2 linked regions of the Neurospora crassa OR74A genome follow. Each later gene encodes a partner of the first gene's protein in a complex. Links are inferred from orthologs where the notes say so. Each region holds a gene or a part of one and is shown on either strand. Other genes may lie near its edges. The genes, in order: NCU07982 and ilv-4.

Evidence for each region.
Region 2: the proteins of NCU07982 (region 1) and ilv-4 are in contact, whole or in part, in a crystal structure (PDB 6U9D), measured with the Saccharomyces cerevisiae proteins. The link is inferred for Neurospora crassa OR74A from reciprocal best matches to the Saccharomyces cerevisiae genes ILV2 and ILV6. Residues at the interface, in NP_013826.1 of Saccharomyces cerevisiae: Arg211, Lys215, Trp216, Asn217, Ile236, Pro269, Ser270, Ala272, Leu273, Pro410, Lys411, Ile413, Asn414, Lys415; in NP_009918.1 of Saccharomyces cerevisiae: Gln85, Glu87, Ser92, Arg93, Arg101, Gln134, Arg137, Gln138, Glu140, Asp141, Leu142, Val143, Pro144, Val145, Tyr146, Ala147.

What each region holds. Positions count from the first base shown.
Region 1 is NC_026504.1:3,793,152-3,801,553, forward strand, and holds NCU07982 (acetolactate synthase, variant), read left to right. Parts: upstream 1-3,450; 5' UTR 3,451-3,610; exon of another isoform or gene 3,611-3,787; 5' UTR 3,788-3,879; coding exon 3,880-4,031; intron 4,032-4,144; coding exon 4,145-4,240; intron 4,241-4,311; coding exon 4,312-6,133; 3' UTR 6,134-6,602; downstream 6,603-8,402. Other genes in the region: NCU07981 (hypothetical protein), read left to right, coding at 1-485, 556-954, 1,021-1,176; NCU07983 (hypothetical protein), read right to left, coding at 7,227-7,259, 7,713-7,907. UniProt on the Saccharomyces cerevisiae protein: Catalytic subunit of mitochondrial acetolactate synthase, which catalyzes the first of a series of common steps in the biosynthesis of the branched-chain amino acids.
Region 2 is NC_026502.1:2,758,668-2,766,496, forward strand, and holds ilv-4 (acetolactate synthase small subunit), read right to left. Parts: upstream 4,079-7,829; 5' UTR 3,743-4,078; coding exon 2,931-3,742; intron 2,865-2,930; coding exon 2,684-2,864; 3' UTR 2,296-2,683; downstream 1-2,295. Other genes in the region: arg-12 (ornithine carbamoyltransferase), read left to right, coding at 950-1,309, 1,416-2,102, 2,172-2,282; NCU01665 (KH domain-containing protein), read left to right, coding at 5,035-5,251, 5,313-5,530, 5,712-5,733, 5,798-5,850, 5,912-6,076, 6,130-6,782, 6,833-7,052, 7,105-7,128. UniProt on the Saccharomyces cerevisiae protein: Regulatory subunit of mitochondrial acetolactate synthase, which catalyzes the first of a series of common steps in the biosynthesis of the branched-chain amino acids.

The sequences.
Region 1 (8,402 bases):
GAACCATCGTCACACCTGGTGGTGATATCGTCGGCCGTCTCGTCAATGGCGACCCCAAGGTGCTCTTTGGTCGCCCTGTCGATGACGATGGTGATGTCCTCGACAAGAACGGCAACGTCCTCGGCCATGCTGAGCGCTGGACGCCCGAGGAGGTTGAGCGGAAGAAGAACCCCATGTCTGACCGCAAGGTGAACCGTGAGGGCAACGTCGTCGATGAAGACGGTAACATCATCGGCAAGTTGACTTCCGGTGACCCTCAGTCTTGCTCCGGTAAGGAGATTGATGACGACGGAGACGTTGTCGACTACAAGGGTACTGTCATCGGCCACTGCACACTCCTCGAGGATCTTAGAGAAGAGGAGTCGCCCGAGGAAAAGGAGAAGAGGGAGCAGGCCGAGAAGGACAAGAAGCTGGCTCTCCAGATGGCTGTCTGCATTGAGCAGTGTCTTGACAAGATTCGCCCGCTTTGCAAGATGATCACCGAGGTGAGTTTCTCACGTGTATTACTTTGATCACTTACCTATCAGTCACTGACCAGCGAGTTTTGAACAACAGAAAATCGACAAGGCCGAACGCACTCCCGAGGATGAGCGTGACGAAGAGGCGCTCGTCAGGGAAGTCAAGCCTTTGATCGAGGAAGGTGGTCGTATCCTCACCGAGGCCAAAGGTATCATTAAAGGCCTCGACCCCGATGGCCGCATCGCAGCCAACGCCAAGCACAAGACTGCCTCGCGCGAGGCCACTCCTGAGGAGTACCATTTGGCTGAGGTCCTCAAAGACCTCACTGGTGACATTACGCAGTGCATCGAGAACGCCAAGAGAAAGCTTGAAGACATGCCTCATGCGAAGAAGGAGCTCAACCCTCTCTGGGGTCTTCTCAACGAGCCCCTCTTCCAGATCCTGGCTGCCGTTGGCTTGCTTCTGGCCGGTGTTCTTAACCTTGTCGGCAGATTGGTAGGTGTACACATATCTACCCGTCATTTTCTTGCTCTGGCGAATGGTGCTAACAGAGTTGTGCAGCTGAGCGGTCTCGGTCTTGGTGGGCTCGTCGACGGCCTTTTGGGAACACTTGGTCTCAACCGCGTCCTTGAGGGTCTTGGTCTTGGATCCCTTACCAAGAGTTTGACTGGAGCCAGCAAGAAGAAGAACAGTGGTCTCTTGGGCCTTGGTGGCTAGATGTGTACGGGAAAATGGGATGTTTTGGTCGTGGAATGTTTGGATATGGTAATGTTAATTGTCCTGATAAGTTAATGTGTGTCATGAACCCGGTTTGCGAATGTTAGTCTAGCTTCTTTCCAAGATCTTGGTTAAATGGTTCAGTGTTTACAGTCGAGTGTCCTACTCTAATATTCAGTCATTCTTCCCTCTCTTGTCCTACAGTGACAGTCAAAAAAATATTGTCACCCCTTACCCTATTAGACGTGTGGGGGAGGGTGACAGTATTTTTTGATCATGAGTTTAGAAAAAAGTTGCGAAATCTTGGATGACAAGAGACTTATTAATAGGCATATGAATTCCAAGCTTTGTATCACGACAAGGGCAATGGACCTTTTCGAAACCCTTGAGAAGAGTTGGATCCAGGGCCAAAAAGGACAGGCGTCGAATTACACTTGATCAGGAGAAGTTGACTCACCACCTAAAAATGTTAGTGTGAGCAACCCGAGCGGACGGTTCGCTTCCCCTACCCACTGCATGTCGAGTGGAACAGTCAACAACGAAACAGACCTCAGAGACCGTATCCTGGCTGGCATGAAACGGATGGAGTTAGCAGATCTCGACTATGTACATATCACCGCCAATGCCCCGTGGTGTTGTCTCTCTTATCGCCGGCCACGTCAACTGTCAAGACGGGAGTGACGACGCCGTCAAGGCTATGAGTACGTGCGTATCATGATGTTTGTTGAACCCTTGGAAGAACGGCCAAGAGCGGGAAAACGGCCTTCGGTGCATGCTCGGCAGTTGTTGTTGACATGGACAAGGATGAGAGGCTCTCACCAAGGAAACATTTCTGGAGCCGTGGATCGGTGGACTCTGTGGGTTCAGCGTGGACTGGGTGGGACCAGAGAAAAGGGTGGACGGCAGCGCAAGTGGATTTGCGGGGAGTGGTGTGGGCGATATCGGAGGTAGCAATTTGACTGTCGCAGCTCAATGCTGGAGACGTGATTGGTCAATTCGGCCACAGCTCGCAGTCCCAAAGAAGAACCTTGACGGTTGGTAATATTGGTGATGGTCGGTAGCGACGTCGGAGCACCTATTTAGACATGCCTAACCTTCGTTGCAAGGTTGGTTTTGGTTGTTATTGACTTTGTGGTAGTGAGAATGAAGCTATTCAGGAACGATGAAAGGGCAATATGAGAGCAAACTTGGAAGGCGGAAAGTCACCCCCCACATAGTATTCGTTGTTCTGAGGATTCGTGGCTGCCATGTGTGACACTAGCGATGCAGGGAAACGGGACCAGTACTTAGCGTTGGCCCAAATACGTCGACGGTGAAGCTGGTGGAATGTAGTCGCACGACCACATCATTGTCGGGCTAGATATTCGCCATTTTCGAGTTATGAAACTATTTGTTTATCATTTTGGAAGACATTTACGATGAAGTAGTGCTAGCCATGATCACGGAAAGCATGATTGCTGTGACGCTGCTTGCCCTTCTCCACCGAAACATAGTGGTGAAGGTGGAGGTGGCCTTTTCTCCGAATTTTTGATGAATTCCCGAACAAACATCGGTCCGCAGTCACGTTCCCTCGCTCCCCCGCCGTTGCAGAGTGCCGTGCCGTACCTGTGATTTTCCTGGTGCCGTCCGTGATTGGTCTTGACGGTGCCTTGCCCTGCATGTTTGTGCCTGACGTGTAGTCGTACTGACGGGATATTGGATGACTCCAACTGGGACAACCCACACACTCTTCCGTCGGCTGTCCGCTGTGTCGCGTGTGTCCCAACAAGGAACCAACTACATAATCGTGTTCAGAGTCAAATGTTACCGTCTTCTTTTTCGGTACGGGTTCGGGGATGCTAGGAATATAGACAGAACGTAAAAGACGAAGCTAAACAAGGGTGGCGGGTCTTGCGAGGCTCGGACAGAAGGAGCCGGCCGGCTGTTTCGTGGACCACCACAAGACGAGATCAAAGCGTCTACAAGATGGAGCAAGACACTTCAGTTGAAAGCTAAACACTTCCTATTCACAACCGCCACACCGAATTCCATCTTGCCTTCTGGTGGAAAGATGAGAAATGTCCAAAAGTTCAAAGGAATCGGCAGAACCCAGAGCCAATCACAGGCTCGTGCACCGTAGTGGCTGCTTCCGAAATCGCCACTACACTTTGCCAGCAACAAGCCGCTAGCGACCTGTCATTGGCTGAGATCACCCAAACCTGGCCTCTCGAGTTCCACCCGCCTGACTGTCGCGACCAGAGTACCCCACACTTTATGACTATCGTGCCGGCCAGAGTCAAATTTTTGAGCCCGGGCGGCGGTTCGACTCACATTGCTCCCGGTTCCCGGACGGTCTCGGTCTGGTAGTCGCTACACTGACCACCACACTGCACTGCATTGATTGATTCATCAATTGTCATCTAATAAAGTACAACAAGAGACACTCGCTTTCTTCGTAAGTCTGTCTTCTTGCTCCCTTTTCTACCCTTCCGCCAACCCCATCATCCATCATAAAATCCTTTGATGTTTTCCTAGTATTACAGGAATCACCTACAATCCTCCCTAATTTCTATTTCCTGCTGCGTCCTCAGCCGACGATATTCTCCTCTAACAAAGCCACTGTTTGATATAGCTTGTGGTCCCCCCGCCGCCGCCCGCGTGTAACAGCAATTCGTTATCCTCCCAACCGCTCCCAGTAGACCATATATATCCTCCAAGGCCGCGATGCTCCGATCACGTCAGGCCGCTCGCGCCTTGAAGGCGTTGACTGAGGCGCAACATATCTCCCAGCGTACCACCCTCTCTGCCTCCCAGAGGGCCGCTGTTCTTCTCACAAACCGCTCCGTGCAAACGAGGAATCAGTCCACTGCCGCAGCGTATGTCTTTCTCCAAAAAATATCCCTTGGCCCGGTTGCCGCCCCCTTCTACCAGTGACTCACGACCATCTAGAGATAGTCAGTGACAAGGCTAACATACACAACTAACACAGCGCGACGAGACCTACCCCTAGCCAACATTTCCAGCCTGAGCCTACACCTAGCAATGTTCAGCCTCTGGCCGGGCGCAAGCCCGACATGGACGAGTCGTATGTTCTATGCCCCGTCACAGCGAGTACGGATGTGATCTGGCCAGGCTAACAAGATATCCGTTATGCAGCTTCATCGGCAAGACCGGTGGTGAAATCTTCCATGAGATGATGCTCAGACACGGCGTTAAGCACATTTTCGGCTATCCTGGCGGTGCCATTCTCCCCGTCTTCGATGCCATCTACAACTCTCCCCATTTCGATTTCGTCCTCCCCCGCCACGAACAAGGTGCTGGTCACATGGCTGAGGGTTATGCCCGTGCTTCTGGCAAGCCCGGTGTCGTCCTCGTCACCTCCGGTCCCGGTGCCACCAACGTCGTTACCCCCATGGCCGATGCCCTTGCCGACGGTACTCCCATGGTTGTCTTCTCCGGCCAGGTCCCCACCACCGCCATTGGCAGCGATGCTTTCCAGGAGGCCGACGTCATTGGTATTTCTAGAGCCTGCACCAAGTGGAACGTCATGGTGAAGAGTGTCGCCGAGCTTCCCCGCCGCATTAACGAGGCCTTCGAGATCGCTACTAGCGGCAGACCTGGTCCCGTCCTCGTCGATCTCCCCAAGGATATCACCGCTGGTATCCTTCGCCGGGCCATCCCCACCGACACCGCCATCCCCACCAGCCCTAGTGCCGCCTCCCGCGCTGCCATTGAGCTGAGCCGCAAGCAGCTCGATGCCTCGATCCAGCGTGTTGCCAAGCTCGTCAACATTGCCAAGAAGCCCGTCATCTACGCCGGCCACGGTGTTGTCCAGTCTAAGGGCGGTCCTGCGCTCCTCCGCGCCCTTTCCGAGAAGGCCTCTATCCCCGTCACCACCACCCTCCACGGTCTTGGTGCTTTCGATGAGCTCGATGAAAAGTCTCTTCACATGCTCGGTATGCACGGTGCCGCCTACGCCAACATGGCCGTCCAGGAGGCTGATTTGATCATCTGCCTGGGTGGCCGTTTCGACGACCGTGTCACTCTTAACCTCAACAAGTTTGCTCCCGCTGCTAAGGCTGCCGCTGCCGAGGGTCGCGGTGGCATCGTCCACTTCGAGATTCTTCCCAAGAACATCAACAAGGTCGTCCAGGCTACCGAGGCTGTCGAGGGTGATGTTGCCACCAACATTGAGCTCCTCATCCCTCAGGTTGACGCCAAGACCATGGCCGACCGCAAGGAGTGGTTCGGCAAGATCAACGAGTGGAAGTCCAAGTGGCCTCTTTCCGACTACGAGCGCGCCGAGCGCACCGGTCTGATCAAGCCCCAGACCCTCATCGAGGAGCTCAGCAAGCTCACCGAGGGCCGCAAGGAGAACACCTACATTGCCACTGGTGTCGGCCAGCATCAGATGTGGACCGCTCAGCACTTCCGCTGGCGCCACCCCCGTACCATGATCACCTCCGGTGGTCTCGGTACCATGGGCTTCGGTCTCCCCGCCGCCATCGGCGCCAAGGTTGCCAAGCCCGATGCTCTTGTCATTGACATCGACGGCGACGCCTCCTTCGGCATGACCCTCACCGAGCTCTCCACCGCTGCTCAGTTCAACATTGGCGTCAAGGTCATCGTCCTCAACAACGAGGAGCAGGGCATGGTCACGCAGTGGCAGAACCTCTTCTACGACGACCGCTACTCGCACACCCATCAGAAGAACCCCGACTTCGTCAAGCTTGCTGATGCCATGGGCGTCCAGTCTAAGCGCATCATCAAGCCCGAGGAGGTCGTCGAGGGTCTCAAGTGGCTCATCGACTCGGAGGGCCCCGCCCTTCTCGAGGTCGTCACTGACAAGAAGGTTCCCGTCCTCCCTATGGTCCCTGCCGGCTGCGGTCTGGATGAGTTCATCACCTTCGACCAGGAGCGTGACAGGAAGCGTCGTGAGCTGATGGTCAAGCGTACCGGTGGTGTCCACGGTCTTTAAATGTTTTATCGTTTACATCGATTTGGATCTATTCCATATGGCGATGAAGATGGATGGATAACATGTGGTGTTGGTCAAAAATGGGGATTTTCCTTTCGGCGTTTTACAAGCTGTATGTCTTTTTTTACAACTGCATTACCGGGACAAGAAAAAGGGTCTGTGTTGTTGGTGATCCGGCAACGTTCGGCGAGGGATCTATTTCCATGATTTGGTTGGGGTGAAGTGAAAACGCATATTCTACTTTTCGTTTTCAAGGGCTGCATGCGCGTATTCTTACCTCCGGGAGGAGGGAAAGAAAAGAGTGCAAAAGGTGACTTTCGATCACACAAGGAGGTTGTGTGTGGGTACAACAAGCATAAATCTGTTTGATGAAGTTGCGACTGCTTTGCGGGCCTGTATATATTTTTATTTCCTTGAATGACTGGATACCACGATTTTTCCTTGCGCAATCACAGTTCTATCGCATCCAAGCATCACCTTAACCCAAACCGGTGACACTCGTAGACCATGAAATCATATATACCCACCCACCTTGTTGGTATTTGTGCATTTCATGAGTTTGTATGCCTACAGATGTTACCTCCAGTTCATGGACGGTATCACGATGCCGTCGTTGCCGAGGAAACGCATCACAACAATTGTTTAGCAAGCAATAGGGGTAAACCCGAGTTCATTAACCCCAAGTGTGTACAACCATTTTTTTTTCCTTCTCTAAGCTACCCTAGATAACCCGCCGACCCACGCCATTTCTTTGCTCAGGGTAGGAGTAATAGAGGTACTTGTGTGCGCGAAGCCAGAAACAGAAAGCAAAGATTCAATAAAAATCATCCATCAACCCATCCAACGCTCCCGTCCCGCGAAGAACAAACTTCGCTCTTTCCCTCCGGATCATATGTTACGCATGACCGTCACATTACACTGTTATACCTATTCCCCCTTTCCAATGCCTCCCCCCTTCATCCACCCCACGCATGAATTCCGAAATCTGTGGATGGATGCAAAAAGCAAAAACGAAAACCAACAGACAGTAATGATGCGAGGGAGCAATCATCGTCTGGGTAATGTTCGTCGTGCACGAAGCTTTAGAGGAAGGTTACTTCGTGTGGTGCGAAGCCTGGATAGCGGTCTGGATACAACATACGGGTTAGCAATTAGCCATTGGGTTGGTGGATCTTGGAGGAGAACAGAAGTGGCTTGAAGGCCAAGATAAACATTCGAATGGCCGCAGGCTCGGGCTACTAATGGGCTCTGTCCAATCGACAACCTGACCGTGACAGCGATGGGACAATGGTGAAAAACCAGACTACTATCATCATCATCCTCATCTAACTGAGTCTCGGCCGCAACAACGGACTTAACTTAGACAACCGTCCACTCTTCTTCCTCCACCAAGAAGTCCAAGGCTGCCGCGCCTGGGACTTCTTGGTGGAGGAAGAAGAAGGAAGGTTCTGTTTCAAAAAAGACACCAAAGGGGGAGTTAGACAACCAAACCAAACGAAACGGAACAAACAAAACGCAAGGAGGAATGGAATGAATGCTTGAGACAGAGAGAGGAGAGAGAGAAAAAGAAACAACGTACCGGGCAGTTCTCGCAAGCACAGTCTCCCGGCGTACAAGTGCAGCTACCAGTATGGCCGCAATCGCACGTCTGTGCCGGCTTGGTGGCTACTGGCTTGTCGCGGGTCTCCGAAGCAGCAGCAGCGCCAGTGGAAGGGCCCGTGTTGGTGCCTGAGCCGGAGCTCATGTCGGCCTTGGTAGACGGTTTATCGGACATTGTGACTTTTAACTAGTAGGGTGGTGTTTTGGGTGCGCCCAAGTGGAAGTGGAATGTGTGTTTGGCTGAGTTGGGTTGTTGCGCTGGAGTCAAATATGGTGTGTTCGGTGCTGGTCGGTGATGGGGTGGAGAGAAGATCCGGTAGAGGTGATGAGGTGATGAGGTGATGAGAGGATGGGGGGGTTATATAGCTAATAGTGGGAGGGCTGGGTTACGGCTGATGGACTTCGGATGGGAAACGATGAATGGAAGGGAGAGATGCAGTAGAGGAAGATTGGAGTAGTGGCGAGGTGACGTAAGTGCGGTTTAGAAAAGTTTAGAGTGGTGATGGTGAAAGGGATCATGGGTTGGATACGGGCAAGAACGGGCAAAGCGGGCGAGAGCGGTCGTGAACTGAGTAACATGGACGGACCAAGGTGGACATGAGCTACTAGGTAGAGGTACCTAACCAACCCCTCTGGGAACTGAACACACCTAAAGCTATGAGGAGCTCTC
Region 2 (7,829 bases), on another chromosome or scaffold:
TGCCCTCACCCTTCCGCGAGGTCGCGATGGGACCGGTGACCGGATGTGCCTGTTCCCCTCGTCGGTTGCATCCAAATTCCCAGTGGATGGATGATGGACGATTGAACGGCATGCCCCTGGGTGGGGCCGCAACCCCGAACTTGGAGAAGCCCAGTCCCGCCAGCGGGCTTGCCCAGAGGCTCCAGACACCCCACCGGCTTGTCCCGTCGTGGTGTGGAGTGAAGCTCAAGTAACCAACCATTAAACAAGCTCCAATTCGTCAGACCTGCATGTACCCGTCCCTCACACTAAGTCTAGGGTTCTTATCCTGAATGACACACCTCATGCTGAGCTCCATTGGCGGTTGGAGGCGGGAATCAGCTGTGGCTGGGCTATTTGATTGTGAGCGTGAAGGAACTGAGTATGTAAGACCGCTCAAAGAGAGAGAAAAAGATAAAAGCAAGAAGGATAAAATAAAGAGTTGGAAGACAAACGTGCAGATAGCCGGTATCGGTGCAGTTTCAAAATCAAATTGTTGTGCAATTCAACTCTTGGCTGTTATCTTTTGGCCCAAGAGACCTATTCCCTGCTACCAAGCTCATCCCCGTAAGGGCCCTCAACAGTGAGCTACTTAATCGTCTTGTTCCTTGACTGTGGGTTTTGCAGACTGGGAAGAGGCTATTCCGAAAGTCTGGGGCTGAAAAGAGAAAGGACGAAAGACCAGGGTACCTGTGAAGAGTCACGGTTCGCGAATTGATTCATGAAGGAAGTGGAAAGGGCCTTGATAAACACTACCTCCTAGTACTGCAGCTTTCCCCCCAGGGCCACTCTTCCTGGCTGACTCACTTTCCCACTTCTTTCACAACTCATCTCTCATTTCTTAAGATACCCCATTGCACTTTTTCTTCGTTTGACATTTCTCTCCTTCCTTGTCCTCACCAGATACCCGTCTCACCTCACCATCGCCATCATGATGTCCCGGGCAACTACTCGCACCATCAAGTCCGCTGTCGGACAAATCCAGGCTCGCTCTGTGTCCAACAGCGCCGCCAGCAGTACCCCCCGCCATCTTCTCTCCATCAGCCAGCTTAGCCCTGCCGAGTTCTCCAAGCTTGTCCTCAATGCTTCTGCTTACAAGCAGGCCACCAAGGCCGCCTTCGCTGCTGGCCCCGGCCAGGTACCCCGCACTTTGGACGGCAAGCTAAAGGGACGGACCGTGGCCATGATGTTCAGCAAGCGAAGCACCAGGACCCGTGTCTCGACCGAGGCCGCTGTGGCCCTCATGGGCGGCCACCCCATGTTCCTCGGCAAGGATGACATCCAACTGGGTGTAAGTGTTAACTACCGTCTCGGCTCCATCGTCCCTCCCCTTGCCTAAAGGAGACACATACATGCGCAACGACCAGCACCTCGATCGCTAACGACACTTTCCACAGGTCAACGAGTCTCTCTATGACACTTCCAAGGTCATCTCCTCCATGACCTCGTGCATGGTAGCCCGCGTCGGTCCTCACTCCGACGTCGCCGACCTCGCCAGGGACTCATCGGTACCTGTCATCAACGCCCTGTCCGATGACTTCCACCCGCTCCAGGCCATTGCCGACTTCCAGACCATCCACGAGGCTTTTGCCACCAAGCCCGCCCACGAGGCCAGCCTCGGACTCGAGGGCATGAAGGTCGCCTGGGTCGGCGACTCTAACAACGTACTTTTCGACATGGCTACCGCCTGCGTCATGCTGGGCGTCGACATTGCCGTCGCCTCGCCCGCCGGCTACGGCATTCCCGACCGCATGAAGCAGATCATCCTCAGCGTCGCCGAGGGCGTTGCCAAGCCCGGCAAGCTGATCGAGACTACGGTCCCCGAGGAGGCTGTCAAGGACGCTGATATCTTGGTTACCGATACCTGGGTGTCCATGGGTCAGGAGGCCGAGACCCAGAGGCGTCTCAAGGCGTTTGCCGGCTTCCAGATAACCAACGAGCTGGCTAAGCGTGGCGGCGCGAAGCCCGGCTGGAAGTTCATGCACTGCCTTCCTAGGCACCCTGAGGAGGTTGATGACGAGGTTTTCTATGGTCCTCAGTCCTTGGTCTTCCCCGAGCCGAAAATAGGCTCTGGGCTGCCGTCTGTAAGTGAAGCGATCTTATTCTGCCCCGCGGATGAAGCTTGAGCTAATCACGTTTGTGCTTTTACCTAGCTGCCCTTGAGGCTTTCGTCGTCAACAACGGTAGGATACTTTGAGCAGAAGCGATATGACAAGGTTTCTTTTGGTTGCATCTTGGTTCTATCCACTCTTCGTACATCGTAAGCATATCATGGCAGCAGTAAGGCAGGCGTTGTATTCCATGGGTTAAGGGGGTTTGGTTGGTTAATATAACCATATTCTCAGTTACACACAAAAGTTCTTGGCTTTTTTTTTTCCCTCCTTCACATCGGTTCGTCTTATTGTATTCTATCTAGACGGGTAATAAGACAAAAGAGAAACGACATAAAATGATGACAGATTTTTCGAGATGCTGCAAAAGGCTGATCAACTACTTTTCATGTGATTCTTGTAACGCCGCTGCAGCTATTAGAATAGACGAGGCACATGAAGACAATTCTGCAAAGTGCGAAAATAAGAGGACCAATTGACCAATCCGATCCACAACTCCTGGGTAAATCCTTTCCCATTTTTCCCCCATTCCTTTTGCACACACCATCCCACATTTAACCAGGGGGAAGCTGGCTAGCATCAACAACGTCATCGGCCTCCTTCACATGGGTCTCCTCGCCGTGCTCGTAGAGAGGAGAGCGGGGCAGGGCCATGAGACCAGTACGGGCGGACTCAAGAATGCCGAAGGGGGCAATGAGCTTGAGGAAAGAGTCGATTCTGACGGGCTTCGCGGAGCTGTGGAAGAGTGGTTAGTAAGTAAGCTTGACAGGGGCGCGAGACCAAAGGGTGAATCAAACTTACACTTCGACAATGCAGCTGTTAGTGCTAATATCCAATACCTTGCCGCCGAACTGGTGGGTGAAGTATGTGATGCTCTTGAGATGCTCATGCTTGTGCCTCAACGCCTCGCTGGCGACCAAGCGGCTGGGGTGGAAGTCCTTGGCAGTCTCCTCCAGGCTGTGCTCGCCGCCATTCTCGAGCTTGCCAGATTCGCCCTCGGTGGCCTCGGCGGTGATCTCGCGGTGGTGAGCGAGAAGTTCCTCAAAGTACTCGGGGCCGAGAATGTTGATCTTGGCCAAGAGCAACTCTCTCTGCACGAGAGCGGCCTTGCTGTAGTCGAGAACGGCCCAGACGGGGACCAAGTCCTCCAACTGCCTGCGCGCCTGCTCAACGACACCGTCCTGACCGGTCAGGACAATGGTCATGCGGGAGAGATCATCAACCTCGGTGTTGCAAACAACGAGCGAGTCGATGTTGAAGCCTCTGGCGGCCAAGATACCCGAGACGCGCGACAGCACACCAGGCTCGTTCTGGACCAAGCAGTTCAGGATGTGACGCTTGGGAGGGGCGAGCGAGGGGGAGGGCGTCTCGTAGAGGATGTTGGAAACGGCGGCCTGGGCGGACGACCAGGCAGGAGGAGCGTCGGCAGCGGGGAGAGGCGCATGGCGGCGGCGGATGGCCTTGTAGGCAATGGCAGAGGTCGAGCTGCTGTGGGAGCTGTACCGGACGCCAATGGCCGCCGGAAGAGACTGCCGGGCGACGGGAGCGGCATCCCTTGCCTTCGCCGATATCCGGCGCAGTGGCGCGGACATCACGAGGCCGCGAGACGCCATGGTCGTCGCGAGTATAATGTATAGAGAGAGGGAAGTTTGCTTCACTGCCCCTCGTGCAAATCGATCCGGAGCCGACGAGTACGTATGCTACGGTGGTGGTGAGCTGGGAGGGGGGAGGTATGTACAGACAGATGGAGGCACGAGGTGGGTTGGAGGATGGCAACGAGGTGAGGAAATGGATGGATCAAACCCACTGGATATGTTTTCACCAGCCGCTAGTGACTCACCCGAACATCGGAGCTCGATGGAGGATCAGTGATTAACACAGGGCTCTAGACGTGGCTCCAGGCCCTCGTTGCTAGCGGGATGCACTGGCGATGTGACCGATGTGACCGCCGATTGTGGAGGCCAACATGGATCGACCAATGTAAAACAGAGGAGCCCCAGCTACTTAGTCCCAAGCTCGGGTTGCCGAATGGTAGTGTCGCAAATTTGCCTGTCTGCCGGCCGAAGCCCGCCCGGGCCTCCAGTCGTGGCAGTTGAAGCTTCGTTGTGGTGCCGTTTTTTGTTCAACCTACCTCTAGGTAGCTTATCGGCATTGTAGTGTAGCTTGACGCAGTCGGCTGGACACTCAGAGGAATGAAAGACAATCAATGGGACACTCAGCAAATTATCTCAGCCATGTTGGCCTAATATGTCATGATTCGACCATTGTATTCAGATGAAAAAGTGGAAAAGTCCGTCGCAACCGGAGCGCAGACATCCAAACTCGGTGTTGCTCAACGTCCCGTCTGAAAGATCCGTCGTCCAACTGGCAATCTGAACTTCAGTTGTCGGGTACTTACTACTTTCCCGGAACTTCTACCGGACAGGGCGCCGTGCACCTTCATGGCCCGGCGATACTTCAGTTATCTGCCGCTTCCACTTCTGCAATGCGGTCCTGAGATCGAGAGCCCAAACCACCAAACCGGAAACGATCCACAGCATTTTGGGTCCAAAGAGCCAATCACAGACAAACCTGACGGCGCGCCCGATGCTCCACGTCTCACAGCCTCGTGGGTTTTCACAAGTCTCCACAGCCAACCCTTTCCCTTTGACGGGACAGGCTTAAATGTCATGCACTGCCGGCTGGTGTCTTCAAAAGGTCACGGTCCAACTCCAACTAGTGCTAGTGGTCTTCAACACAGGCGGCCCGTTTTCTTTTTCGTCCTTGTCAAGTTCAGAGTCCAACAATTCTTACCAGGCATCCACTGATCGTTTCTATTCCTGGGCGCGACACATCACGCCTCCATCAGCAGCCCATTCGACACATTTAAGAACCCAACCCGGCACCCGACCGAATCGCTCCGAATATGGACGACGCAGAACGTCGGAGCGCGAAGCGCTCTCGCTTTGACCAGACCGAGCCTGAACCCAAAAGAGTATCACGCTTCGACCGCCGGTCTCGTTCTCCTCCCGCGAGGAAGTCGGACTCCGGCCGGGATCGCGACCGCAGCCCTCTTTCCAAACCCCGTGATAGCGCGACTCCCGATTCCACAAAGCCAGCAGTTGACCCTGCTGCTGCCGCTGGTATGCATTTAGCTCGCGATATAGAGGCCTTTTATATCAATTGTCGCTAACCGCTTTGTAGCTGCCGCTGCCGCCCGTATTCAAGCCCAGCTACAGGCTCGGAAAGGAATCCAACATGTCGATGTCCCACCCGTTCGATCTGCCGGTACCAGAGAGGGCAGCGTCCCCGCGAATATCAATGGAGAGATGTACATTTCCGATGGAGACTTCATCAAGGATATCGAGGTCAACGATCTCCGTAACAGATATCTCTTGACAAAGGGTTCGACCCAGAAAATGGTAATTACTCCTTGGTTAACCCACTCATCGACTGTCAGCATTCGCGAGACCGCATCTGTCTTGTTAGCGTCTCCGTTCATGCTGTACAATCTTGTGCGAGATACTCTTGCTTACAGGAGGCATGGTAGCTCGCACAGGGCCATCCACATTGCAATTGCTGACCTTGGCTGCTTGAATATAGATCAAAGATGAGACTGGTGCCGGTATGCCTCGCCTTTATACACGTTAAGTTTGGAGAACTGTTCATTGACCGTTTTCTGTTCAAAGATGTCACCACTCGCGGTAGCTACTACCCCGACAAGAGCATGGCGACACCTGCGGTATGTGATTGCTTCTCGAGACTGGTCTACAAGTTCTCGTTGCTGACGCATTTGACTTCAGAACCCTCCGCTGTATTTGCATGTCACGAGCACGACCAAGGAAGGTTTGGAAAAGGCCGTCGCCAAAATCGAAGAAATGATGAAACAGGAACTTCCTCAACTCGTTGACGAACGTCGGTTCCGCCGCAGGGACCAGGAACAAGTCGAACGTGATGAATACGGTCGTGTAAGTCCAAAGGCCCCTCAGCTATGTTCAACTGGGGCTAACGTGTTTTCAAGCGCAAATGGCCGGAAGAGAGAATCCCCATCAATCTTGAACCCGTCCCAGGATTCAACCTCCGCGCCCAGGTGGTTGGTCATGGTGGCGCTTACGTCAAGCATATCCAACAGGAGACTGGCTGCCGAGTCCAAATCAAGGGCCGTGGCTCCGGTTACATCGAGGCATCAACAGGCCGCGAGAGTGACGACGACATGTATCTGCATGTCGCTGGTCCCGATCCTAAGATGGTAGAGAAAGCCAAGGAGCTTTGCGAGGATCTGATGGAGAACGTCAAACAACAGTATGAAGAGTTCAAGAGTCGTCCGCCCCGCCAGTACAACGGTCCTAGGGATTACCGTGATCGGGAGCGGGAGCCCAGAGGTGGCGACTCTTACCATGGGCGGGGCTACAACAACAACAACAGCAACAACAACAACCACAGAGATCACCATCATGGCGGGCACCACGACAACAGCCATCACAGCAGCTACACCAACTCGCCTGCTCCTGGTGGTGGCCCTTCGGTCGCGCCCCCTACTCCCACGGCTCCTGCAGCGGCCACGACGGATTATGCTGCCCAATATGCCCAATACTACGGCGGCGCTGCCGCTACTGACCCTTATGCTGCAGCTGGTGCGGCTGACCCATACGCCGCATATGGTGGCTATCAAGCGTAAGTGATATCCGATTTCATTAGTGATAGCCAGCTAATGGTTTCAATAGCTACGTCCAACTGTATCAACAATGGTATGCCGCTCAGGCTGGACAGGTAACTCCTGCTGCTGCGGCTACTGGTGTCCCCGGTGCCCCCGGTGCTTCGGCATCTCCTCCACCACCGCCTCCTACTGAAGCAGCCCCCCCTCCGCCTCCTCCCCCATCGTCTGCTGCCCCTCCCCCACCTCCGCCCGGCGCTCCTCCCGGAATGTCTGGTGGCTATAGCGCGGTATGTAAAGCCCCATGTCATGTATTAAACACTTGAACTAACCGTCTTCCAGGTCCCCCCGCCCCCTGGCCTCTGAAAATGGCACGTTGACGACATTAGCAGCTTAGAAAGCCAGCGAGTGCTTAGGCTTAGTGGTTAGCCTTACATTCTCTTACAGCTGATGCTTCGGCAGGGATACGAATTCCAAAGAAGATAAAAAGAAATTGGCTTAAGCCAAGGGTAAAGATTGTTTTCCATTGTTCAGGATTATCTCATCACACTAGGCTGCTGCCCAGACGAGGGTCGATTAATCTTATAGAACATGACGAAGTGGTGGCACACTGACTCATTACAATAGCGACGCAGTCCCCGATGAGTGATGTGGATAGGGGAGGCAATGTAAGACGTCTACAAACGCTTTATTTTTCTGTGACGTTTTGCCAACAATGCTGCACAGGTTTCTCTCTTTTCGGTATGTTATGAGCGCATGGTAGGACTTGTTGGTTTTAGAGATGCTGCTGTTATTGAAGTCTAGGTCCAGAAGTAGCGAAGAGTCTGAGCCGGACGCTTGATCAGGTAGGTAGATGTTTGATTCGTTTACTAAAACGATGTGCACAGTCAACATCCCTCGACCTTGTTGGTACACTCGGTCGGCCTTTCATATCCATGCTTGCGCTTCAATATCTCTTTATCAAAGCTTCTCAGGTTCTCTTCACGCAAATGTCTACGGTCAAGAGGGGGTAGCAAAGCTCTAGCAGGGAATAGTCATCACACAAGAAGAAAAATAGGAGAACTAGA